7 linked regions of the Canis lupus familiaris genome follow. The protein of the gene in region 7 interacts with the protein of the main gene of each other region in a pairwise test. Links are inferred from orthologs where the notes say so. Each region holds a gene or a part of one and is shown on either strand. Other genes may lie near its edges.

The links.
Region 1: the proteins of CCNDBP1 (region 7) and PSMB10 interact in binary tests that used the Homo sapiens proteins (3 or more experiments, as listed by UniProt). The two-hybrid records come from large-scale screens. The link is inferred for Canis lupus familiaris from reciprocal best matches to the Homo sapiens genes CCNDBP1 and PSMB10.
Region 2: the proteins of CCNDBP1 (region 7) and MRPL15 interact in binary tests that used the Homo sapiens proteins (3 or more experiments, as listed by UniProt). The two-hybrid records come from large-scale screens. The link is inferred for Canis lupus familiaris from reciprocal best matches to the Homo sapiens genes CCNDBP1 and MRPL15.
Region 3: the proteins of CCNDBP1 (region 7) and myelin P2 protein interact in binary tests that used the Homo sapiens proteins (3 or more experiments, as listed by UniProt). The two-hybrid records come from large-scale screens. The link is inferred for Canis lupus familiaris from reciprocal best matches to the Homo sapiens genes CCNDBP1 and PMP2.
Region 4: the proteins of CCNDBP1 (region 7) and ZGPAT interact in binary tests that used the Homo sapiens proteins (3 or more experiments, as listed by UniProt). The two-hybrid records come from large-scale screens. The link is inferred for Canis lupus familiaris from reciprocal best matches to the Homo sapiens genes CCNDBP1 and ZGPAT.
Region 5: the proteins of CCNDBP1 (region 7) and C10H22orf23 interact in binary tests that used the Homo sapiens proteins (3 or more experiments, as listed by UniProt). The two-hybrid records come from large-scale screens. The link is inferred for Canis lupus familiaris from reciprocal best matches to the Homo sapiens genes CCNDBP1 and C22orf23.
Region 6: the proteins of CCNDBP1 (region 7) and STK25 interact in binary tests that used the Homo sapiens proteins (3 or more experiments, as listed by UniProt). The two-hybrid records come from large-scale screens. The link is inferred for Canis lupus familiaris from reciprocal best matches to the Homo sapiens genes CCNDBP1 and STK25.

Annotation. Positions count from the first base shown.
Region 1 is NC_049226.1:82,145,633-82,149,722, reverse strand, and holds PSMB10 (proteasome subunit beta type-10), read right to left. Parts: upstream 2,801-4,090; 5' UTR 2,661-2,800; coding exon 2,605-2,660; intron 2,378-2,604; coding exon 2,290-2,377; intron 2,208-2,289; coding exon 2,110-2,207; intron 1,988-2,109; coding exon 1,847-1,987; intron 1,624-1,846; coding exon 1,508-1,623; intron 1,413-1,507; coding exon 1,354-1,412; intron 714-1,353; coding exon 562-713; intron 440-561; coding exon 328-439; 3' UTR 269-327; downstream 1-268. UniProt on the Homo sapiens protein: The proteasome is a multicatalytic proteinase complex which is characterized by its ability to cleave peptides with Arg, Phe, Tyr, Leu, and Glu adjacent to the leaving group at neutral or slightly basic pH.
Region 2 is NC_049250.1:6,005,020-6,009,000, reverse strand, and holds the start of MRPL15 (39S ribosomal protein L15, mitochondrial), read right to left. Parts: upstream 2,801-3,981; 5' UTR 2,718-2,800; coding exon 2,610-2,717; intron 1,091-2,609; coding exon 936-1,090; intron 126-935; coding exon 1-125.
Region 3 is NC_049250.1:29,194,816-29,198,833, forward strand, and holds the start of myelin P2 protein, read right to left. Parts: upstream 2,801-4,018; coding exon 2,728-2,800; intron 1,028-2,727; coding exon 855-1,027; intron 379-854; coding exon 277-378; intron 1-276.
Region 4 is NC_049245.1:48,113,882-48,117,007, forward strand, and holds the end of ZGPAT (zinc finger CCCH-type with G patch domain-containing protein), read left to right. Parts: intron 1-72; coding exon 73-228; intron 229-1,365; coding exon 1,366-1,485; intron 1,486-1,573; coding exon 1,574-1,973; intron 1,974-2,225; coding exon 2,226-2,364; 3' UTR 2,365-2,626; downstream 2,627-3,126. Other genes in the region: LIME1 (lck-interacting transmembrane adapter 1), read left to right, coding at 2,806-2,977. UniProt on the Homo sapiens protein: Transcription repressor that specifically binds the 5'-GGAG[GA]A[GA]A-3' consensus sequence. Represses transcription by recruiting the chromatin multiprotein complex NuRD to target promoters.
Region 5 is NC_049231.1:27,710,968-27,713,370, forward strand, and holds part of C10H22orf23 (UPF0193 protein EVG1), read left to right. Parts: intron 1-1,573; exon of another isoform or gene 1,574-2,061; coding exon 2,062-2,244; exon of another isoform or gene 2,245-2,403.
Region 6 is NC_049246.1:51,486,373-51,489,565, forward strand, and holds part of STK25 (serine/threonine-protein kinase 25), read right to left. Parts: intron 2,572-3,193; coding exon 2,341-2,571; intron 1,587-2,340; coding exon 1,530-1,586; intron 1,059-1,529; coding exon 950-1,058; intron 482-949; coding exon 324-481; intron 238-323; coding exon 52-237; intron 1-51. UniProt on the Homo sapiens protein: Oxidant stress-activated serine/threonine kinase that may play a role in the response to environmental stress.
Region 7 is NC_049251.1:10,350,662-10,354,161, reverse strand, and holds part of CCNDBP1 (cyclin-D1-binding protein 1), read right to left. Parts: intron 3,144-3,500; coding exon 3,062-3,143; intron 2,308-3,061; coding exon 2,211-2,307; intron 2,035-2,210; coding exon 1,961-2,034; intron 1,386-1,960; coding exon 1,309-1,385; intron 1,012-1,308; coding exon 731-1,011; intron 1-730. UniProt on the Homo sapiens protein: May negatively regulate cell cycle progression. May act at least in part via inhibition of the cyclin-D1/CDK4 complex, thereby preventing phosphorylation of RB1 and blocking E2F-dependent transcription.

The sequences.
Region 1 (4,090 bases), on a different chromosome or scaffold from region 7:
AGGTGGACTAGAGGGCAAGAGCAAGGCACTGGAGCAGCAGGGGACCTCTGCAGTGTGGAGTCGGCAGGGGGCTCCCCTCCTGTAGCTGCCGTGCTTGCTAGGGCTGGGGTTCCGGAGGAGTAGATGCCTGAGGTGATGGGTGAAGCCACCTGTTAGGCCAGGCACTGGAGCCACGGCAGGGAGTGGCACCTGCAGGTGTACATTAGCCAGAGTCCTGATGGCTGCTTGTCCCCTCTCCACCCAGGAACGACACAGCCATCTGCTTAGGTGTTTTTCTATTTTCTATGTTTATTCCTCCTTGTTCCAAGCCCTAAGCATCATCCCACTTCACTCCACCTCCATTGCCTGCACAGTTTCCTCCAGCAGCTCCAGGGTCAGTGGCTTCACTGTCTGGGACTGGACTGCTGTTGTCCCAGGGGCAAAGTAGTACTGGCTGGGTCTGGGAGAAGGGAAGGACAGCCTCTCAATTTGGGCCCATCATATAGTCCATCTTGCAGTCCCCCATTTGCCCTGCTACTGCCCCATCCTCCCCAGTGGTCTCCCCATTTCCCAAGTTCCCACCTTTCTGTGGGCTTTGTGGGGGAGCTTAATGTTCTCAGAAGTTTGGCGCCGGTCCCCGTTATCACACATGCATCCACACTGCCGCCGGAGCCGAGGTCACCCAGGATCCCAGCAGTGATGGCTTCCACTAGCAGCTCCTGCGCAGCCTCTAGCTGTGACGATACGTGTGGGGGAGACCTGCCGGACCCTGCTGGCGCCCTTCAGCCTACAGCCTACAGGTTTCTGCTCATCTCAAAGCCCAGACTATTTACCATTTGCTCCTACCCAGACCCCTATTCCCTATTCCCCCAGCCAGCCCAGACTCCCTTGCCCTGGCCTCTGCCTCGTTCTCTCCAGAGACTGTCTCACTGTCCCATGTTCACAAACTTCTCTTACACTTACGGTTCTGCTTCCAGGATTGTCCCCCCAACCAATGCGTCTCGGTCCCCAAACTACCAGCTCACTGCTCTTTCACTTCCGGGCCTTAGGCGCCTCTGAAGCAACACCTGTCATTCACTTCCATCCCACCTCAAACAGAATCGGGACTCCAGACCCCACTTGCCGTTCCCTCCTCCCTCAGCTTCACATGGTCCTGAGCTTTGACTTCTCCGGGCAGTTCAAACTCTGGCGCTGATGATCGTCTCCTGGAATAGCACTACTTCATTCTGATTCCACTGGCCCCTCGGCCTCCACTCAATCGTCACCTCCTCCAAGAAGCCCTCCCTGACCTCTACTAGGATCCCTGTGTGTTACCCCAACTCCCGCGTGCGCTTCCCGTCAGTGAACACGTCGTGGGGGACAGGTGTTGCTCACCGTCATGTTCGGCTGGAACCGATCCTCCAGGACCGCCAGCGCGGCGTCCTGGCCGGAACCTGCGGGCAGGAGGGGCATCTGAGGTCGGTCGTGGCCACCCAGTCGCGGGACGAACGCGAGGCCAGGGCCGCAGGGAAAGGGGAGAAGCGCTCACCCAGGGCGGTGAAGGGCAGCCGGCTGTAGGAGCCGTGCGGGTGCACGCTGTAGAGCTGCGGTCCCGAGAAGTCTACGCCGCCCACCAGCAGCGACGCGCCCACGTGGCCCCGGTACCTGGGGGGAGTGGGCGTGGTCAGCCCCGCCTCCGGGCCCGGGCCCCGCCCCTTCCTGTGCTGGCGACCGGGGCAGCGCCGCTCCTTCCGGCCGCCCGGCTCCTCCTGGGGCGGCCCCTTCCGGTCCCGGCTCTGGCCGCCCCGCCCCCGCCCGGCCCAGCTCCCCTCAGTCCCGCCCCCCGGCCGCGCCCGTCCCCGGGGCCGCCTGAGCCCGGCCCCAGCACCGGAAGAGGGTCTGGCGCAGAAGGCGCGTGACCGTGGTCACGCGGGGCTCGCGGCCCGTGGACAGGGAGTGTAGCTCCATGTTGGACGCCGCCATCCGCGTGGTCATCTCGGCGTCCGCGGCTACTCCAGCCCCACAGCAGCTGAGAACGAGTGGAGGCTCGGTGTGGGTGGGGCCCGGAGAAGCAGGGGCCGGGGGCGGGGGGCGGGGGGGCCGGCGGCAGGGTTGGTCTTGAGTAGGGGGTCGGGGTTGGGGATTTCTCACTAGATTTTGGGGGCGATGAAGTGGATCTTCTCGCAGTTCTTATCCATCACGACCGAGTCGTTAGTGGCCCGCGTATCCGCGCCCAGGATGACTCCATCCTGGTGGGAGAGGGTCGCTGGCCCAGTGGCTTTGGATCCCCCAGCAGCCCCTCCAAGCCCCCAGGCCCAAGTCCCTGCTCACTCGGAACACGAGGCCCGCGATGGTGGTTCCGGTCTTGTGTGCACGAGGGATCCGGAACCCCGGGAGGACGCGTTCTAAGGATGCGTTTCTGGAAACGGAGTGGAGTGGCCCAGGTTGGGGTTCTGGGGCCGCATCACATCCTCCAACTACGTCCCAGCCTCGCCCGCGTCTAGCGGCGGGAGCCTGGCAACCCAAGTCGCCCAGCACACCCTGCCGCCCCTCCGCCCCCACCGGGAATAAAGGCCCTGGAGTGTCGGTGCCCGAGGCCTTCGGGGAGAGCATAGCAGCTCAGCTCTAGACCATCACCCCCATCACCTCTGGCAGTTCTCGAAGGAGAAGCCCCGTTGGGGCTCTGACGCCAGCTTCAGCATCTCCAGGTGGGCAGGGTGGTCCAGGGGTTGGGGGTCTCTGTGCGACCAGCGGGGAGCAAGAAAGGCCCAAGCCGGGTCCTCTGTCCCGCACCCGCCTGGCTGGTCCGGGGCTTCCTGGTTTCGCTTTCACCTTTCCTGAGCTTGGCTGGCCCCTTTCTGCATCTTCTTTCACTTTCACCTTTGCCTCTGGTCCCAGGCAGCTTGTCAAAGGGGAGATGTCCTCGCTTGGCTTTCCATCCTGCTCCCTAGTCCTCAGTCTGTACAGAGGGACAGACAGCTCCATCTGGGTCAGGCCTGGGTCGGGGGATGTTAGCAGCTCCTCCGCCTTCCAGCCTGAGCCCTAGCTTTGAGGATCCCGATCCCAGCTCTGACTTCAAGTCCCTCAATCCTGAGGCTGTCACACTGGCCAGGTGTCTAGTCCTGGCCTCCCGACAGCATCAGGCATGGCTGCCTTTTGTCCTATGGCGCCCTTTCTCCCTCAGCTCTTTTGTTGCCTTTGCCTCCTCCCTGAAATCTGAAACACCAAGGCTCTATCCACCGTGGTGACACATGGTGACCTTCCGTGTCTCGGGTGCTATCTTCCCTCTCACAAGAGGGGTGCTGTGGGGCTGCCCATCTCGTGGCTTGGAGGCATGCTGGGCTCTACCCATGGCCAAGCCTTATTTCACCTCCCAAATGACCCTTTATCTATTGGCAGCTTTCTCCTAACTACCGCGTTAGTCTCCGCGAGCATCCTGTCCCCTCTGGATACCGCACTGCCTTTCCTGGCTTCCCCAAGCTTCCCGCTCCTCAGTCCCTGCCTCGGGCTAGCTTTACCTTCCAGAGAAGGGTCTCCTAGATTGAAAATCTGGTTAACCCCCTCAGCAACTGCATTATTGTTCTTAGGTTCAAACCGAAGTTATAGGGGATCCCTGGGTGGCTCAGCGGTTTAGTGCCTGCCTTTGGTCCAGGGCGCAATCCTGGAGTCCTGGGATCGAGTCCCACGTCAGGCTCCCGGCATGGAACCTGCTTCTCCCTCCTCCTGTGTCTCTGCCTCTCTCTCTCTCTCTCTTTCTCTATGTCTATCATGAATAAATAAATAAATCTTAAAAAAAAAAAAAAAAACCCAAGTTATAGCGGCCCACATGACCTTTCTCATCCCGTCTGATCTCAGAATAGGCACCATCCCCTCTGGGCAGCCTTCCCTGACCCCCCAAGACTCAGCCCTTTGGTGCTCCCTAAACTTTTCTCTCAGACCACTTAGTTCCCTTAATTACACCATCATTAGAGAAATGATCTGATTAGGGGCTGTTTCTCCCTCAGATTCTAAAAACTCTTGTGCTTCTGATATCCACTTAGCCCTCAAAAGGCCCTGTCTAGGGGGGCTCCTGGGTGGCTCAGGTGAGCATCTGACTTGTGATTTTGGCTCATGGTTTGTGGGATCGAGCCCT
Region 2 (3,981 bases), on a different chromosome or scaffold from region 7:
GGATGGTCACACCTCTCCCATTGACAAGTTGAGTTAGGTCAATAGGTTGAGTAGGATCCACGCGACCCAAATCAATAAGATATTGCAATCTATTGAGACTCAAAGGCTGATACTGGCGTCTGAAGCTACAAAACAAAGTAACAACTGGAGAACTCAGTTAAGCTTATCTTCCTGTAAATTCTTCAAATCAACTCAAATCAACTTTGCCCTGTATTTTCCTGATTTAGCTAATGTAACAAAACCCTCCTGAGTACAACAGAAACACTTAATATTGCTTTTTGCTAATGAAACAAAACTAGTACTTCGTTTCATTAAAAATAATTTGCCTCTCTAGGCATTTACTTACTCATTCAAACAAATTTGTCAAAAATTTAACCCTTCATTCGAATGATGTATTAATGGAACTCAAAGTAACAAGCATAGTTTTCCTTTACTGAATGACTATAATTGTCCAGATGTTTACATATATTATTGCTCAGCCTCTAACCAACCATAAGAGCAGGCATTATTATCTCCATTTGCAGGTCTGAATACAAAGAAAGTCTGGGTTTTTTTCCCTCCTGCTAATCCAGCCTAAATTTCATTAACAAAAATGGTTCAGAGAAATGGCAACAAAAGTCTGCTTCAAAGTGAATTTCAGGGCAGCCTCTGTGGCTTAGCAGTTTAGCACCTCCTTCGGCCCAGGGCGTGATCCTAGAGACCCAGGATCGAATGCCACATCCAGCTCCCCACATGGAGCCTGCTTCTCTCTCTGCCTGTGTCTCTGGCCACCCCCACTCTGTGTGTCTCTAATAAATAAATAAAAATCTTTTTTTAAAATAAAAATCTTAAAAACAACAACAACAAAGTGAATTTCAATTTCTATCAAGCTATTTTTATAGGTGATTGTCAGTGAAAATTAGGGATTTTTACTTGAAAAAGCAAAGCAACTTTACCTATGACCTTCATTAAACCCGTATTTTGGGATTCGAATGTAAAATGGGGTTTGGCCTCCCTCAAAACCCAGTCTGGGCCGGGTTCCTCTCTGCCGCTCTCCTTTATGGCCTCGGCCACATTTTCTACCTCTTCTCCGACCTCTTCGCCGTCTTTCCTGAGGACAGAAAAGAGTTTTGTACGATCTGCATTTTTAAAAAACTGTATTTCATCTTTTCACTTGTGTATTTTTTTGTGATGCCATTCATTTATCCAATTAACCAGTACCAGCTAACACTACTCTGTGCCAAGCATTGTTTACTCTAATCCCTACTTTTAGGTTAGCATCTTTGCCTCTGAAGATGTAGCAAATCCTTGTAACCAAAGCCCAAGTTATGTTTAAAGGCAAAGTTCCAAGGATGGGATGGAGATAAAGGTTCTATGATACAGGATGCCTGGGGGACTGAGTGGTTGAGCCTCTGCCTTCTGCTCAGGGCTGATCCTGGGGTCTTTGGTCTCTCTGTCTCTCATGAATGAATAAATAAAATCTTAAAAAAAAATTCTATGATAGACTGCAATGGAAAAAAATCCTAGAATCAAACATCCCCAACAAACAAGGTTTATACGATATTCCAGAACCTTTATTTTGGAATTGTAAATACTTTATTGTTATGCAAGTAAATAACGTTATTGAAACGTTAATTAGTAAAGAAAGTATTTTTCTTAAATTAACTTCCTCTTACTTCCTAAAAGCAAGTGATTTTTTTAAAGGAGTTTGTCCCCGCGACTGGCTGGTTGGGGGGGGGGGGGGGGGGCTGCGACTCTGGTTGTAAATTAGAGCGCACATTAGGTATAGCGATTATTCGGTTAAAAAAATAATAATAAACCCTTTAAAAATTAAATAAAATGCTAATATATCAACTAGCAGCTTTCCTAGCGGATTCATGATTCGCAGAAGAGACATCTACCATAATCAATCAATTCGAATCTTTCCCATGAAAATAAAGATACCAGGGAATGTATTTCATTTTAAATATTTTGTGGGGGCTTTTTTTTTTGCGTGTGTCTTTTTTTCCTAAGATTTAATTTATTTATTCACCGGAGACCCAGAGAGAGGCAGAAACACAGGCAGAGAGAGAAGCAGGCTCCCGGCGCGGAACCCGATGCGTGACATCCCGAGACCCCCGGGGTCACGCCCTGGGCTGAAGGCCAACGCTACAGCTCTGAGGCACCCAGGCGCCCCTTCGATACAATTTTGATAGAAACAATCATTTTATAGTTTCTGCGACTTCAGTCCTCCGCCCTAGTTAACATAATTGTGCTTTAAGATATAAAAGTAAGAATTAGGGGATCCCTGGGTGGCGCAGCGGTTTGGCGCCTGCCTTTGGCCCAGGGCGCGATCCTGGAGACCCGGGATCGAATCCCACGTCGGGCTCCCGGTGCATGGAGCCTGCTTCTCCCTCTGCCTGTGTCTCTGCCTCTCTCTCTCTCTCTCTGTGTGACTATCATAAATAAATACAAATTAAAAAAACAAAACTAAACTAAGAATTAGGACCCTACGGGAAGCCGCTCTTCAGTGCAATTGAGAACAAGGCACCCAACCCCCTTCTGGAAAGGAGTCCCCGAGAAGGACGCGGAGCGAACGGCCGCTTCCATGTCCCGTCCCCAACGCTTCCGCACCGCCTCCAGCCATTTACCGGTTTCCTGGAGCCTGGATTCGGTTTTAGGTTGGCCAAGCTCACACGGGGCAAGGCCCGGAGCAGGTCCAGGGTTCTTGCCCCGCCGGCCTGCACGGGACCCGCCATCGGAGGGCCCACACCCTCCCCGGCGCCGCGGGTCGCCTCGGAGCCCACGTGGTCTCGCGGCGCCGCTTTACGGCCGCGGCGCCGCCCCTGTCGCACCGCAGCAGCTTCTGAGCCTCGAGTCGCGCGGCGCGCGGGTGCGGGAGGACGCCCGGGGCGAGCGGCGCGGGGTTTGGGGCGTGCGGGAGTGTCCCGGCAGCTCGGGAGGTTTGCAGTCTTGTGTTAGGGCTGCGCTACGTTTTTCCTGTTTTTAGTTCCCTGGGGACGTGAGCTCCCCTCGCTAGAGATCGCTCCTTGACCTGTCTCTGAACGTACCCGGTTTTCTCCCCTTCGTAAAAGCACACATTGAAAATGTAGGCGTCTGAGTCAGCGCTAGGCCTCGCACGTTGTGGGGACCTGCCCTTATGAGGCAGGGTTCTCCGAGCTCCGTCTGGAACCCGGAATAAAAGAACTTGAGCTCTAAACCATTAATTTTGAGCTTCATTTAATAACACGCCGTGAGACACGAAGATAGGCCGAGGTCTAGCTTTTCCAGTGCCCGGCTAGGGGCGCCCGGGTGGCTCCGTAGGCCGAGCGGCGGGACTGGCGGGGTGGGCGCAGGTCGAGAGCCCGGAGTCTGGGCTGCGCACCGCCCCCCCCGCCCCCCTCCTGCTCAGCGGGGGGTCAGCTTGGGATTCTCTCTGCCCTTCGCCCCGCTTGAGCGCGCGTGCTCTTTGTCTCGAGAATAGATCTTCTAAAAAAAGTTTGTCTAAACACCTGCTTAGGGACGCCTGGGTGGCTCAGCGGCTGAGCGTGGGCCTTCGGCTCAGGGCGTGACCTCGGGATCCCGGAAGGGGAGCCTGCTCCTCCCTCCTCCCTCTGCCTGGCTCTGCCTCTCTCTCTCTCTCTCTCTCTCTCTCTCTCTCTCTGGTCTCTCATGAATAAATAAATAAAATCTTTAAAAAATAAAAATAAAATAAAATGCCGGCTTATACCAACCTGTGAATAAGACTCGAACTATGTGTTCTCTTCCCCGTGTATCTATGAGATAATGCCCCGACCCAACCCCTGAGATAACTTCACTTATTTAATCATGTTAGGAGCTGTGTGGAGGGCTCCGTGTGTGTCAGACGAGACGCATTAGTTAGCCTAATTCGATTTGTCTAAACGACCAGCCCTAGATGTAGATATTTCTATTTTTTTACAGACTGAGAAGCTAAGGCTTGGCAAAGTTAGTTGGACCAAGGTCCGACAACAAACGATCATAGCCAGGTTTCAAATTTGCCTA
Region 3 (4,018 bases), on a different chromosome or scaffold from region 7:
AGACTTGCTTTTCTCTTTGTAAGTCCAAACTGGTGAGATTTATCCATATTCTTTGACTTTACCATTATTTTTAGGCGTTCTTTCTAAAATTTTGGACCAATACTTGAAGTACTTATAGATGAGTCTTCATGGTTGAAATATCATCTAACCGTTAACTCTGACATTATTACTTAGCCATTTTTAACCATTTGTATTGCAAAGAAGAAAATCTTGAAAATAATATTACACATTTCTTTAATACCATTATTTTGTATTTAGAAGTGAAACTACTCTTACCACTACCATTTTCCCATCCACCAACTTTCTTTTTATTGTTGTCTCTTTGCCATCCCATTTCTGCACTTGATTCAATGAGCCTCTTGACAAGGTTACAATGCTCTGCAAAGACAAATTCATATAATCGAGTTGTTTGGATTTTGGTTGATCAGAGAAATTCATTCACTATTGAATTGTTTTCATAATAGATGTCTCATGAAGCACATTCATTTTCTGTTGTATTTATTTATTTATTTATTTATTTATTTATTTAGATTTTATTTATTCATGAGAGATACAGAGAGAGAGAGGCAGAGACATATGCAGGGGGACTTGATCCCAGGACCCAGGGTTGATGACCTGAGCGAAAGGCAGACGCTCAATCCCTGAGCCACCCAGGTGCCCCTATTTTATTTATTTTAAAGTAGCCTCCACACCCAACATTGGAGTCAAAATCAAAATCCTGAGATCAAGTAAGGGGCCTCAAAGGCACATTCATTTTCAATAGAACAGAGTGGTCTACCCTTTTGAACACTAACAGGAGTAATCCTCTCAAATCCTAGAATGAGCCAACTTTGAAGAGAAACATTAAAATTTACCTTTGCTTTCCTGTTGTCAGCTGTGGTTTCTTCAAATTCCTGACCTAACTTGAAGGAGATCTCTGTATTTTTGAATGTACTCTCAGTTCTTATAGTTATAATATCCCCTTTCTTGCTGATGATCACACGGGGTTTGGCTAAATTTCCCAGTTTTCTGGTGGCTAACCCCACACCTAAAAATCAAGATAGAGTTAGAATTCTTTTGACAAAGAGTTATACCTAGAGAGTCTGTGAATGGCCACATTCTGTGTTCAGTTGTGCCTCAGATGTGGAGATGGCAGGTAGTATCACTGACTCCTGAGGACCTCCTCCCACATTTCACCACCTAATGGAAATACCTGCCCATAGACTTAAATATTTTAGGTTTTATTATTACAATAATAATGTCTGCAGATTTTAAAGAAAAATGCATTTAACCTAAATAGTTCAAGTCATCCACTTTTACCACATCCAACCCCACAGTCCTTGAAAATCACCAATCTTTTGTATGGATCATTCCAGACATTTTAGTTTCTACATATAACTATTACAGGTATTTTTAAAATGAGACTATGACAGATACCCACTATTCTATGATTTCTTCTCCTCAGTAGTATATTACGGATATAGAAAAGAATTCCCCTCACATCCTTAATAGAATCTCGTTGCTGAAATTTTGTCATGGCCCCTAAGCTTAGCTGGTAGAAAAAACTACCCATCTCCTTTCAAGATCTGTACCATTATACATGATCATAGTTAATGTGATTTTTAAAAAATGTTCTGCATTTGAAAAATGAAACAAAATTAGACTCTTGGGTTTTATTACTATTATTACTAAGACTATAGAAACACATGGAAAAGGAGAAATGTCAAATGAGAGAAAAAAATGAAGGAAAAACTAGTTTTATATACGTATAAAAAACTAGTTTTATGTGTATATATGATCTCTGCAGTAGGGTCTGAAAATGTACACTATACTAAACTCCCAGGTGATCTTATGCATTCTAAACTTGAAAAATGACAGAATTACGGAGTCTTTCATTGACGCTCTTGTATTTTTGCTTCTTCCTCAGCTATGAAGTCAAGTCCATAAGTCTATCCAGTTAGTATGGATCTTCCCCCATAATTTCTAGTAGTTTTCTAGGCAATATGACATGATTTTGCTCATTTTACTTAAAAATACAACCTTTCTCATAAGCTTTCTGAACAGGTAAGGAAAGTTACAGGCACTTTGACAAGCATAGCAACCAGGATCATTGGAATCTCTTCCTACTATATTTATACAGCTCTGGAAATTTCCAAAGATACTTCTCACCTATTGTCCTCGTGTCATGGAACATTCTCTAGAGATAGTATAAAGTTGATAAAACTTATAACTAGATTTTTCCATCTTCATCCATTGCTCCAACTCCAGGAAGGTCTGATGTTAGCCTAACATCAGTAATTAGTGTAAACTTCTGGTTTAGTCAAACACCAAAATTTTAAGTTGGAGTTTCTATTAACGTTAGTATATTCAACTACTTATTTTATGAGAACTTCAGCTGTTATAAAATGAACCTTCAGGAAAGCCAGAGGATGGGTTGACTAAGCCTCTAAAATTTCTTTCCTCTAAAATCAAAGTCTTACTGATACGAAACTACCTTATCTGAAACCACCTGTGAAATCAGTAGAGGTTCCATACAATTAAGCAGCTCTTAGGTTAAAATCTATTAATATTTCCACAAAGTGTACTAAATTATTGGAATGACACAATAGAAGATTAATTGCAGGAAAGGATTGTACTTCAGCCTGTGCAAACTTCCCCAGAGTCCTAGAAAAGGAGTTAGAAGGATATAGTCATGCAGTCTTCTCAAAAAGGATCTTCTCAACCAGAGCAACAAGGAACATTTCTTACCCAGAGCTTTCATGTAATCATCAAAGTGCTCACTGGAGACAAGTTTCCAGGTGCCCAGGAATCTGTTGCTCATGGTGACGGATGACAATTCAACACACTTCTAGATGAGACTTAGGAGACTCAAATGAGATGTTGAAGCCTCAGAAGATTCTTTTCAAAGATGTCCAAAGCATGTGACTCTCACAAAGACCCAATGGGGAAAAGCAGTGTCAGGACTGGGCAATGAATTATCCAGTAGGACAAAAGAAATCCCTACATAATGTTTCCTTTAGTCTCCAAAAATTTTTATAAAGATCAATGAGAGTACTCTTTGGATGTTCAAAAAAATTTTTGGTCGATCTTACATTTTTAAGAAGTGCTTAGTCTTTAATGCTTTGGAAAAGACCCCATGAATTGAGTCCTATATACCAAACTAAATTATATGAGCATGAATGAGAGAGAGAGAGAGACTGAGACTGTGTGTGTGTGTGTGTGTGTGTGTGTGTGTGTGTGTGTTTAGGCATCTTGGTCACTCCCAATCCTGAGTCTGCACAATTAAGAATTCTTATTGAAAGAGAAGAAAGAGAGGAAAATGTCCATGAGTATTGTGATAACCGCCTCAAATATGTTGTGGGAGAGAAATGCAGGGAAGCAGTGTGAGGAAGTATTCATAGGTAAGGGAGGCTTGGCATAGTTCACATATCCCAGGCAGGCAGAGTAGGCGACAATACGGTCAGTCTATTACAGCAGAGCACAGAAATTGTATTCATAGGATGGATAAGAAGTAGCACTAGAGCGTGATCTTTGACCACAGCAAAGATTTCCATCTAAAAAAAACCCTTAAGTCCAATTTAAGCAGGCCCTTAGTTAATACAACTACTTTGAGTTTAAGCCTTTAAAATAAAGCTTATAAAGAGTTTTATAAAGAGAAGGATTTTCTATACAAAGAATACTAGTGTATACTAAGAGCTTCTTATGAGCCAGTCGCTATGCTAAGTGCTTATTACCAATTATTTCATTTAATTATCTCAACATATCCAAGAGTTAGGTACTATTATTATATCCATTTTGCTGATGAGAAAACTGAAGCTTGGGGAGGCTAGGTAACTTGCTCCCAAGCTTCTCATTCTCTCGAATGAGTAAAAAAACAAGGTTTGAACATGACATTGTTCTCCAGCCTGGACCCTGGATAATGATCTTACACTGCTCCGTATATACCACATATGCAGAAAGGTGTTGGCCAAAGGTCAGATGATGCTGACATCACCATGACTGGATAGAGACTTTCATTCTCTGCCCCCAAATCAAGAAA
Region 4 (3,126 bases), on a different chromosome or scaffold from region 7:
CTAACTCCCAATGTGGTTCCTACCACCTGTTGAGGCCACTGAGCTGGCCTGTCTTTTGTTCCCTGCCTCTAGATGTAGATAATGGCTACTACACCGTCAAGTTTGACTCACTGCTGCTGAAGGAGGCCGTGGTAGAGGGGGACAGCATCCTGCCCCCGCTGCGCACAGACCCCACGGGATCCTCAGACTCAGACAGTGGCGACCCAGATGACCCCAGCTATGCCAGAGGTATGGCGGCAGTTCAGGATCCCAGAAGCCAGGAAAGTGGGGCAAGGGGAAGTGTCGGTAGCAGTCACCCCGAGAGGCTTCCGGCTGGCAGGGCCTGTGACCCTCTCACCACATCCTTGGAGAGTATGGGGGCAGTGAGGCAGACTGTGTTCAGAAGGGGCACGTGTGACTGAGGACACGTGGAAGCCCGCCACAGGCATTGGGGGCAAATGAGAGCGAGCGTGTGGAGTCTGGGGCGGGCCCTGAGGCCTGCAGATGGAATGACCCGGCCCTAGTCTTCAGGGAGCACACGGGATGATCGCAGCTCCACACCCCGCAGGCCGAAGCCGTGTCCACTGAAGCAGGGCTGGCCGGTCGGCGTGCGAGGGACCGGCGGGGCATGGGGGCAGGAAGGAGCGGCTCCTTCCAGTGGTCTCCACGTGGGGACACCTAGTAGCTAGAGGGGAGGCTGTGTCGAGAGAGCCGGGGCAGGAGCTGTTCAGGAAGGGTAACTGGGGGGGATCCCTGGGTGGCCCAGTGGTTTGGCACCTGCCTTTGGCCCAGGGCGCGATCCTGGAGACCCGGGATCGAGTCCCACGTCGGGCTCCCGGTGCATGGAGCCTGCTTCTCCCTCTGCCTGTGTCTCTGCCTCTCTCTGTCTCTCTCTCTCTGTGACTATCATAAATAAATAAAAATTAAAAAAAAAAAAAAAAAAAAGAAGGGTAACTGGCTGAGGGCGTCCAGCCCTCCCAAGGGGTCAGGTAGGATGGAGAGGGGAGGCGTTCCTGTGGAATCTGTCCGGTGAGGTGGTAGTTCCTGAACCCCCATGTCCACGGTGGTGGAGGGGAGGACTGAGCCGCGAAGTCGTGGACTTTCTACGGGGGGAAGAGGGGAGCTCACCGCCTGAGAAGGTGGGTCAGGGGAGGGCTCGGGTGGGGAGGTTGGCCCTGCGGTGGGGGGGCTGGAGCAGACTGCGCCAGACTCTGCCGTGAGTCCTGCCTTAGTCACGTGCCGGTGACAGGTCTGGGCAATCACCGGAGAGCCTGAGGCTCAGGGCACCACGACCCTGGCCCGGAGCTGAGCTCTCGGGCTGACACTGGCTGGAGCCCAGGGTGCTCCCCGTCCAGCGGGGCCGAGCCACTGCCCTGTTTCCTACAGTGGTGGAACCCAGTGCTGCCGAGCCCGGGACCTGCAGCTCCGCTTTCGCTGGCTGGGAGGTGCACACACGGGGCATCGGCTCCAGACTCCTTGCCAAGATGGGCTACGAGTTTGGCAAGGGTGAGTGTGTGCCGCCCTGGGGAGGGGAGGGGGCCGCACAGCGGGGCTCGGGTCCAGCAGCGGTAGCGCCAGCCCCGTGTGCCCCCAGGTCTGGGCCGGCATGCCGAGGGCCGGGTGGAGCCCATCCACGCTGTGGTGCTGCCTCGAGGGAAGTCGCTGGACCAGTGCGCAGAGATCTTGCAGAAGAGGACCAAGGGCGGCAAGGCTGGCGCCCGGAGGCCCCCGAAAGGCCAGGGCAGTGGGGGTGGACGCCCTCCCCCTCGTAGCGTGTTTGACTTTCTGAACGAAAAGCTGCAGTGCCGGACCCCGGCGGCGCTGGAGGCTGCGGCGGCCCCCGCAGGGAGGAGGAGCGGGAAGGAGATGTACCATGCCAGCAGGAGTGCCAAGCGGGCCCTGGGCCTGCGACTCTTCCAGACGGAGAAGAAGATCGAGCAGACCCAGCGGGACATCCGGGGCATCCAGAAGGCTCTCGCCCGAAACACCGGCCGGTACGTGTGGGGCGAGACTTGGGGCAGGGGGCGGCCCCCTGGGTGTCGATGCCTCAGCCCTGCCGTGGGCCTCCTGCCCACTTTCCATGCTGTGCCTTCTCGCCTGCACGTGAGCTGGAGCGCGCGCTGACCCCAGGGTGGTGGCTGTCCGAGGAGGGTCTGGTGCTTGGAGGAGGAGGGCCGTGGCCACGGGTGTGGGGGCCTCGTGCCAGTGGCCCAGCAGCTCGTGCTGAACGGCAGGCTCCTCCTCAGGCACAGTGTGACGGCGGCCCAGCTGCAGGAGAGGCTGGCGGGAGCCCAGCGGGAGCTGGGGCAGCTCCAGGCCCAGGAGGCGGGTCTGCAGCGGGAACAGAGGAAAGCAGACACCCACAAGAAGATGACCGAGTTCTAGAGCCCTGTGTGCCGTGGACGGGGCTCAGGGACCCCAGCTCCCGGGTGCCCTCGGGGAGACCAGCTGTCACCCGACTAGATGCTCCTGGAAGAGGGGCTGGCCTGCTCCCAGGCTACACCCCACGGCCAGCGGACACTGCTGAGAGGACATGGGGCTGCAGGGCTCCCTTCTGGACACTTCCTTGCCACTGAGCCCACCCGCCAGTGTTTCGGGGGGTCTCCTCAGCGAGGACATTAAAGTGATTGTGTTGTGGTGTCTTTCATTGGAGGCTCGGCTGGCTTGTGGGACCTCGGGGGAGAGGGGTCCCTGCGCAGGCCCGTGGGCGCCGGCGGGAGGGCCCTGCGAGAGCCCGCTGGCCCCTGTCCGGAGGCAGGCGTCCTCTGCTGTCTTGATGGGGCTCCGCCAGCAGCTCCGAGCTGGGTCGCAGCTTGGGGGCCGCCCATGTTGCCCAGCACCCGCAAATGTGTGGGACTGAAGGGGTCGTGGTCGGTGAAGAGCCCTTGGGAAGCCCTGCTGCTGAGGCCGGAGGAAGCCCCAGGTTCTGGAGGCCTCGAGGCTGCCCCGGCCCGTGACCCACGCCGGCCCAGCTCATGGTGGGTGGAGACGCCCGGAGGTAGGCTCGGAGCAGCGCTGGCCCGCCGCACACCCCAACCAGGCAGCGTCTGCACCCCGCGCGGGCTGCAGCCAGTGGGTGAGGCTGTGATGGCGACGGCTGAGTGGCTGAGGGAGATGCAGGAGATAGATGCACAGCAGGAAGTGAGG
Region 5 (2,403 bases), on a different chromosome or scaffold from region 7:
CATAGTGCCCCCTGTAGCATGACTACAAAAAGAAGGTGCTAGAAATTCCACTTAAATTCCTGGAGACCAAGGATTATGTCTGCCATGTTCACCACAGTAGCCCCAGTGCCCAGTGCTGGATATTTACTGAAGAACTGATTTCATTAGTGGAGAAACCAAGGTAAGTAACTGGTTTGGCTGACAGTTTTATTCTCCTGAGTGTTCTTTTGATTGATTGATTTTTAAAGATTTATTTTAGAGAGAATGAGGGTGGGCAGAGGGAGAGAATCTCAAGCAGACTCCAAGCTCAGCACAGAGCCTGACATGGGGCTCAAACCACGATCCTGAGATCACAACCTAAGCCAAAACCAAGAGTCAGATGCTTAACCAATTGTGCCAACCCAGGCCCCCACTTCATCATCTTTTTTAAAAAACTTGCCTCCAAGTGTTGGTGTTGAGTCAGCTTTCTTCTATAACCCCCTCCTTTTCTCCTAACCAAATTTACTTTTTGTTTTGAGGCATCATTCGAATTCTGTTGCAAGCCACAAATGCCTCTCCTTCATCTGAACTCCCGGAATTACTTGGGCCCTAATCATCTGCCAAGGATAGGCCATAGAGGGAGGTAGCACTTGGCACTGGACAGGCAGAAATAGAGAGTAGAGGGAGAAGGAGGGACATTCTAGGAGGCACAGCATCTCTTTAGGGAAGAATAGGAAAGCCTTGGTGTGGCTCTAGGTAGAGGCTGTGGGAAGGGGAGGGTTAGTGGGAAGTAATGGCAAGCAGCCAAAGGATCATGTAACTTTCCTGCTCAAAACCCTCTGATGGCTTCCCACCTCAAAGGAAAAGCCAGTCTTTCCAAAGGCCTACAAGGCTGTCTACTTCTCTTGCTGTGCCTCTCCTCTGACCTCTACACACCTCTACACACACTATACCCCTGCATTGTTCAGTCCATTGCTGGCATCCTAGCTTCCTGGCTGTTGCTCAGACACCCCAGGCACATTATCACCTCATAAATTTTGCTCTGTTCCTTCTGCCTGGAATGCTCTTCCCCAAAGTCTCTGCACCACCATTTTTGGTGAGGTCCTTCCCTGCCTACCCTATTTAAAATTGTAAATCCTGCTCTGACGTACTCCATTCCATCCCTGTACTGTCACAATCTAACTATGTAATTTACTTAATCATCATCCACACCCTCCAACCCCAAATGTAAGTGCAACGAGGGCAGGACTTTGTCTTACTTACCACTTTACCCCCAATGTCCTGGGCCTGGCACAGAGCAGATGCTCAGTATGTATTTGCTGGGTGGATGACAGAAGGTTGGACACACAGAACAGATACATGGGAGCCAGATCAAAACAACAGGTGGGGCCTGCTCTGAGATGGGCTTTGGGGCAAATGAGAGGAGGGATCAGCCAACCAGATAGGAGGTAACACATTCAGCTGGTCTGGAGGAGGAGCCCCAGATCTAGGCCAAGACAGTGGGCGTGGATGGTAGGCAGGACTGGTGTATACCATCCAAACCATCCCTTCCCACCTATGTACCAAGCAGGTTTTAGGAATCCATCTATAGAAATAAAAGCACCAGTATAGAGGCTTGATGCTCAAGAATGTTTATTGCAGCATTGTTTGAAGTAGTAAAAAAAAAGGGAAGGGGGAAAAAGGCTGAATTTCTGAAATTAGGAGACTAGTTGAATAAAATAAATAATGTATCCATTCTAAGAACTAGTATATAGTTTTAAAAAATAAGTTATATATAAATGGAGTGATCTGGAAGGTTGTCCATGATAAATTGTTAAGAGTCTATTACTGAATATAATAGAGTATGATCCAGTGTTTGAAACACGAATGTCATATACACCCATGTATCTTTGTACATGTTTGTATTAACATTAAAAAGTATGGAACAAGACCAACAAATCCTAACAATTGCTCATTGTGGGTGGGGGTGGGGGATTGGAGGAGAGAAGGGAAGACTCTATACTGTTTGACTTGTTTTAACAGGCAGGTATCATTTTTATAAATTTAAAAAAAAAAAAAAAAAAAAACAGGTAGGTGCCCCTCACCCAAACCTTCCTTCCCTAGGAGGAGACACTCTGCCCCTACAGTGCAGCCCGACATCCAGCCAGAGGGTCTTGCCTTCCAAACAGACAACCTCGACCATCTACCTGCCTCCCATCCTGGCGGCCCGGCCCCACCTCCGGCCTGCCAGCATGTGCCAAGCCAATGGGGCCTACAGCAGGGAGCCATTCAAGCCTCAAGCCCCCCGTAAGTGAGAGGGCCTAGAGAGCCCCTCTTCCACCTCCTTCCCCAAGGGGCCAGGGGTGGGGCAAGCAGCCCACAGGGCAGGTGAGCAGGTGTCTAATCAAATCCTCATGCTGTTTATACTAATGTGCTTGAACCTTGGCACTTGTTAGCTTGGGGGTG
Region 6 (3,193 bases), on a different chromosome or scaffold from region 7:
GGAGCCCCGCCGCAGAGCCGCCTCCCAGCCGGCCCAGGGAGCAGGGCTTACGAATCGAGGGTCTTTGTTGAGACAGGCTTCCACGAACTCCTTGAAGGGCTTGCTGTGGTGGCCCTCCAGGGTGGGCGGGCTGTTCTTGGGGATGAGGAACAGGACGCGCATGGGGTGCAGGTCCGAGTTCGGAGGCTCGCCCTTGGCCAGCTCGATGGCTGTGATCCCCAGCGACCAGATGTCGGCCTGGACAGAGAGCCATGCGGCACCGTTGCTACCCGGAGCTCCCCGAGCCGTGCCGCGGCCACCCTCCCACCCGCCACCGCACCCACCTTGAAGTCATAGGCCGACTGCTTGATGACCTCGGGTGCCATCCAGAAAGGCGTGCCCACAAACGTGTTCCTCTTGATCTGCGTGTCCGTGAGCTGCCCCGCCACCCCGAAGTCTGCAAGCTTCACGTCCCCCTGCTCCGAGAGCAGCACGTTGGCAGCTGCTCAACACAGGACAGCACGTGTCACCCTCAGGACCACGCAGGCCCCGGCCCGCACACGGCTGCCTGAGGAAGCGTGGCCGTCTCTTCCCGGGACCTTGGCTTTCCTCTCCAGCCGACGGGCCAGAGACCCGGGGCCACAGGCGCTGCAGGCGGGCAGCCGCCAGTGCGAGGAGCCCCCGTGGGCACCCCCGGCAGGGTTCCAGGGCCTTCCCGGCGTTTGCCTTCTATGACAAACCCAAGAGCAGAGCCACAGCATGGCCAGCAGAGGGGACCGTGACCCCTGCCCTCACGCCCCCCCACGCCTCCCCAGGTCCACACTTCCGGTTTAAAGAGGTCCCCTCTCCCACAAGGTGCAAGGCTAGTGTTCTCATCGCACGGGGACAGGAGGCCCTCAGCGCCCAGCACCCCCCCTCCCTGCCACCTCACGCCGTGGCACTCTAGGGGCAGGATGGGGGGCACAGGGACCTTTGATGTCTCGGTGGATCTTGCGCTCTGAGTGCAAGTAGTCCAGACCCTTCAAGATCTCCCGCAGGATGGTGGCGATGTAGGTCTCCTCCAGGGGGCCAGGTTTAAGCTGCGGGCAGAGCGGGGGGCAGGCTCAGCACCCCCACCGACACACCCCGGCCCTTCTCCTGCGCTGTTCCACGTTCCTCGCCCGGGCCCTGACCTGACCCCGCTCTACCAGGGGCAGGGGCCCTGCCGCGTGCAGGGGCCTCCTGTTCCCTCAACTCCTGAAATAAATGGAGCTTCGCACACTGAGCGGGGAGCGCGTACGCGGCTTGCTTCTTCATTGCAAAGCGGGGTCCCAGCCGCAGCACCCGGCCTGTTTGCCTGGGGGCGCCAACCAGCCCGTGGGCCCAGGACCACAAACACACATCGTCTGGCTTAGATGGCTCCTAACTAATACGTGATACGCCAAGACAGCAGAGGAGAGGCACCCAGGGGTCCTCGGGTCCAGGGCTGCCGCGGCACAGCGCCCACAGCAACCTCCTTCGGTCCGCTCCTGCCCACGGCAAGCTGCCCCCCGCTGCGGCCTACACCTCACCAGGTCCAGCGCGGAGCCGCCGCCCAGGTACTCCATGATGATCCACAGCTTCGTGCTCTAGGACCAGAAAAACACCTATCAGCACGTGGCGGAGAGCAAAGGGGCACGGCCGGGCCCCCAGGGCACACTCTCCCCAGCAGGGCGGACTCGGGCCCCTGGCCCCTCAGGGACCCCCATGCAAGGGCCCAGCAGCCTCATCCAGCCCCCTCCCATCACACCCCCACGCAGCCACTTTGCAGATGGTCCAGGGGCTGGGTCCACTGTGCCGAGACCCCATCAAAAACCAGACCGGGAAGATGGGAGGCCCAGGTGGCCCTCGGCTTCTGTGGACCTGCACCCCAGGTAGCCCCCTTCCCCTGGGCAGCCCCCCAGGAGCTGGCCTCAGGCTCCGGCTGCAGGGGTCCCAGAGTGGCCCTGGCACGGCTCCCCAGCGCCTGCCCCACGGGGGCTGCCCCAGCTCCGGGAGAGATGCCGCCAGCCAGCAATGGGTCACTGGCCACTTCAGAGCAATTAGACCCCACTCCTGACCCACACGCCCACCTGGGCCTCAGGGCTGTTTTCTGGGGGCAGCTGTGAAGCTGGGTCTGCGCTCAACTGCCTAGGCCTCCCGCCCCTCAGACCAGACCTCTGCTCCCCACTGGCCCCCGGGGGGTCGCCAGCCCAGGCTCTGAGCAGGATTTTCTGACCCTGCGGAACACTAGGCATCAGCACTGTCCTCTCAGGGGGCGGGGGGGGGGGCGCCAGGCACGGCGGGGCGCGGCACGTACCCAAGCGCAGCCCAGCACAGAGCAAGCCCCCTCCCTGCGGGCACCTTCAGGTAGGAGCCGAAGTAGCGGGTGATGTAGGGGCTGTCGCACTGGCTCAGCACGGTGATTTCCTGCTGAATGTCCTCGATCTCGTCCTCGGCCTCCTCCAGGTCGATGATCTTGATGGCCACCACCTCCTTGGTACGGTTGTCGATGCCCTTGTAAACCTCCCCAAAGGAGCCCTTGCCGATGCGGTCCAGCTTGGTGAAGAGCTCCTCAGGGTCCACGCGTGGGTGCTGCGGGGACACGGGGGCGGGCCGTCAGCAGAGCGGCAGCACAGGCTGCGGGGACCCTGCGGCTGGGAGGTGGCGATCCCAAAACGAGGAGCCGGGGAGCTCACCACGTTCTCTTCTCCTTTCTTCTTTTTTCACCTTTTGTTCAGAAAAACTAAACGTATCCTCCGCCCAGAGAAAAGAGCCTCCGAGACACGCAGGCCCAGGCAGACAGGACGGCTCCCCCACCCACAGCCCACCGTGGAGAGGACCAGGTGCCGCTCACTGACCACATGACGGGGGAGCGGGCAGGGAGTGGGCACTTGGGGCCGCGAGGCCACCCCGTGACAGCGGGACGGCACCCAGAGCCCCTCGTGGACCACGGGTCCGGCGGCTGAGAACACCCCACGCTGCCACCCGCCTGGAACCCACACACGGCACGAAGCAGGACTCAGGATGCTAGCGGCAGGGGGAGCCCAGGGCCGAGGGGCGGACCGGCGCCCGCCTTCCCGAACCCCGGGAGAACCCTTAAACAGCAAAGTATCAATCAGAATATGAAGCCGGCCCGCGTGGTGGTGCCAGGAGGCCACGGCCCAGGAGGGGCTTCCCTTTGCGGCCCTCAGACCCCTGGGCCACGAGCTGCAAA
Region 7 (3,500 bases):
ATTACTCAGCTATTAGAAATGACAAATACCCACCATTTGCTTCAACGTGGATGGAACTGGAGGGTATTATGCTGAGTGAAGTAAGTCAGTTGGAGAAGGACAAACATTATATGTTCTCATTCATTTGGGGAATATAAATAATAGTGAAAGGGAATATAAGGGAAGGGAGAAGAAATGTGTGGGAAATATCAGAAAGGGAGACAGAACGTAAAGACTGCTAACTCTGGGAAACGAACTAGGGGTGGTGGAAGGGGAGGAGGGCGGGGGGTGGGAGTGAATGGGTGATGGGCACTGGGGGTTATTCTGTATGTTAGTAAATTGAACACCAATAAAAAATAAATTAAAAAATAATAATAATAATAAAAATAGAAAAAAAAAAATAAATATTATTGTAATCAATGTTAAATTTCTTGGATGTAATAATAAGAATGTTCTTAGGAGATACATGCTGAACTATATATGGGTGACATGTCATTGATGTCTGCAACTTACTCTCAAATGGTTCAGGAGAAAAATAGCACATCTATCCATAGAGAAATAAGCCAATATTGGAAAAAAAAAATGTGAACAACAGGTGAATCTAGATGAAGGCTATATGGATGTTCACTGCAATACTTTTTCAACTTTCCTGTAGGTTGAAAATTTTCAAAAAACTGGGAAAAGCTTGGGGTGACAGCACAAGCTGATATTATATGCTGATGCTCACATTTCAAGTGGGGATCCTGCTTACCTAGGACTGATCTCATCAGAAATATCCACAATGTCGTCCAGCTGGGCCACCTGATCCTTCTTACCATTCTCTGCCACTGAGATCCGGATTTTCTTCAGGCAGGCTTTGGATGCTCTCACCAGTGCAAGGCACGGGATTATGAGCTCTTGATCTTCTTCTGACCAATATAAGTCCCGATTGTTTGGATACCCCAACCCATCATTCTCTTCATCACCATTGTTGTCAGAGTTGTCCTCAGTGTCATTTAAGAGGCCACAGTATGGGTCACATTCTTCTACGGCCTAAGACATGCCAAAAAGAAAAAAAAAAAAGAGCCTATTATACTTACAGCATCATATCTAAGCTATCCCAAAAACGTCAAGCCAGCTACCAACGGCCACCAATTTGAATCACTTCCTAAACTCCGTTCTTACTCTCCTAGCCCAGTAATGGACAGAGAGGAACGGTACTAAAACACACAGTGGCATGGGCTAGAAGATGGGAGTTGAAATCCAGGAGTGAGGATGGGATTTATTGAATCAATGCCCAGGGCATCTCCTTCCTTTATAGTCTCATCTATCATGGAGTTGTCCCCTCACCTGCTCCATTTCCTCATGTGCATCCTTCACAAAATCCACATTCTTCGTCAGCATTGAAAGGGCTGCAGCTTTGTTATCTATGAGTGAAAAATCAGAAGCACTAGAATTAGAGAAGAAACCTCAAAATTCTGTCAAGCCTGCAAATGACAACCAACAGTGTTCGCATTTGAGGAGAGTACCCAGGACAGTCAACAAGAGCGTGGTCTAAAGTAAAAGTTTTCTAACACCCATCCTCTGGGTACTCAGATAGGAGTTAAAAAGCTTTTCATCATTCACCACAAGAAGAAACAAAATGGTCCCTTGATGTTTCTCATTGTGGTCTTCTTGGACGAACACTGTTTTTGATCTAGCTGGCACTATCTCCTAAGTGCTTCAGTGTGTCCCATAATACTGCTCCTGGGGCAGGACCAGGAGAACAAACCACATCTGTTCAACTATATAGGGCTACAGAAAGAGGGCTAAAAAAAGTATAAGAACTAAAAACACTAAGAAAAAATATTAATACTTCTCTTTTGATATTGGTGATAAACTCTATGTATTCCACTAAACTATAAAGTAAAATACTTACATGTCACAAAACTAGAAATGAGATATGAGAGAACTGTCTGCCTTGGCCAGCAGAGTCAATGGCCCGTTTCCAGTTCTTACCCACCTTTTGGTATTCGAGGTACCTGCTGGCATGCAGTCCAGACACTGTTGTAGGAAATAAGGTCACTGTTCTCTAGGCTGGAGAAAGGAAATCAATAAGGATATATCAATAACCAAGGTTCTTCTTTCCTAAAAATCTCCTTCCTGCGAGTCATCATTCACAGCTGTTAGTAACTCTTGTTGAAATGAGGTTTTTTCCCCTCCCTGAAGCAAGGAATCCCATTAACTGACAACCCAAACTATGGCATCACTACCTCTGAGCTGGAGTTATGAAAAGCACATCCACAAGTTGAGCCATTCCATCTACGATGTCCAGAGTGGCATTCCGTACCAGCTTTCTCAGGGTGATTCCTAAAGAAACCCAAAGACTAAGTAGCCTGGTCTTCTTTCCAGAAGTCACCATCTGCTTTCTCAAGAGTTTAAGCCCTTTAGAACTTGAGGTAACATGCACCCACATGCTTGAATTGCAGTGCCAACACAAAACTCAAGTCTTATGTATTTCCCCATATCATTTTCTTGTTCCTCCCACTGAGTGCTGAATGAGAAAGATCTGAAACAAAATCTTTCCATGACAGCATGTATATATTCATTAAGGTTAATGGTCTCTTGATAACTGTGGATGAAACACTTGAAGTTTAAACCATCTGTGACTAACCCTGAAGATCCAGGAGACACGTATTCATTTATAATTTTGGCACAATCATAATCAAAGCATTAATTTATGGGCAGGGACAGAGGTCATTTAACCTGTAAGGGAGCTCAGAAACAGGGTGGGATGTAATATGGGTGGAGGAGACTGGGGAGGCCCCTATAGATCCAGCATCCATAGTCGTTAGAATGAGTTAGAGATGGGGTAGCCAGTAAGAATTAAAAGCCTTACAGTCAGGCAAAGCAGGGAAGATGGTAATACAGCATCCATACCTTAGCATAAAGGCTTATTTACGGATGTCACTGATGTTATAGAATTACCCTTGAGTGCATTTTATGGGAGAAAGTTACATTACATGCTCAAATTGAGGAAAAGGTAAAAGTTTCAGGACAGAAGCTGTCATATTAGCAAAGATATACTCTATAACCAAACATTTCTGTATATACATTGGCTTACCTTGATCCTTGGGAAGTGAATAGTATACTGTAATGATTTCCTTGATGGCAGTATGGATTTGTTCACAGAACCTCTGGGTTTCCTATGAGGTGATGGGTCAATTTCAGAATAAAAAAAAAAGAAAGAGATTAGATTCATCAGCCCCCCCCCCAAAAAAAAAGATTCATCAGCCCATCTACTGTAGAAGAGAGTAGACATCTGTACAGTATGATCTACAAACATTTTCTGTAGTCCTTTTAGTTAGGCTTTGTGCTATTCTTGCCGTATAGCCAAGAGTAGTTAGCTGGACATCAGAGAATGAGGTGACAACTCAAAAAAAGCATTAAGAAACAGGAGGAAATCTTATTGCTAATACTCTGTATCTTGAGATATTCATGATCTACTGTGAGGTATTCACTGTATCTTAGACCAGGAGATGGCAACTGTGGCCTATGGGCCA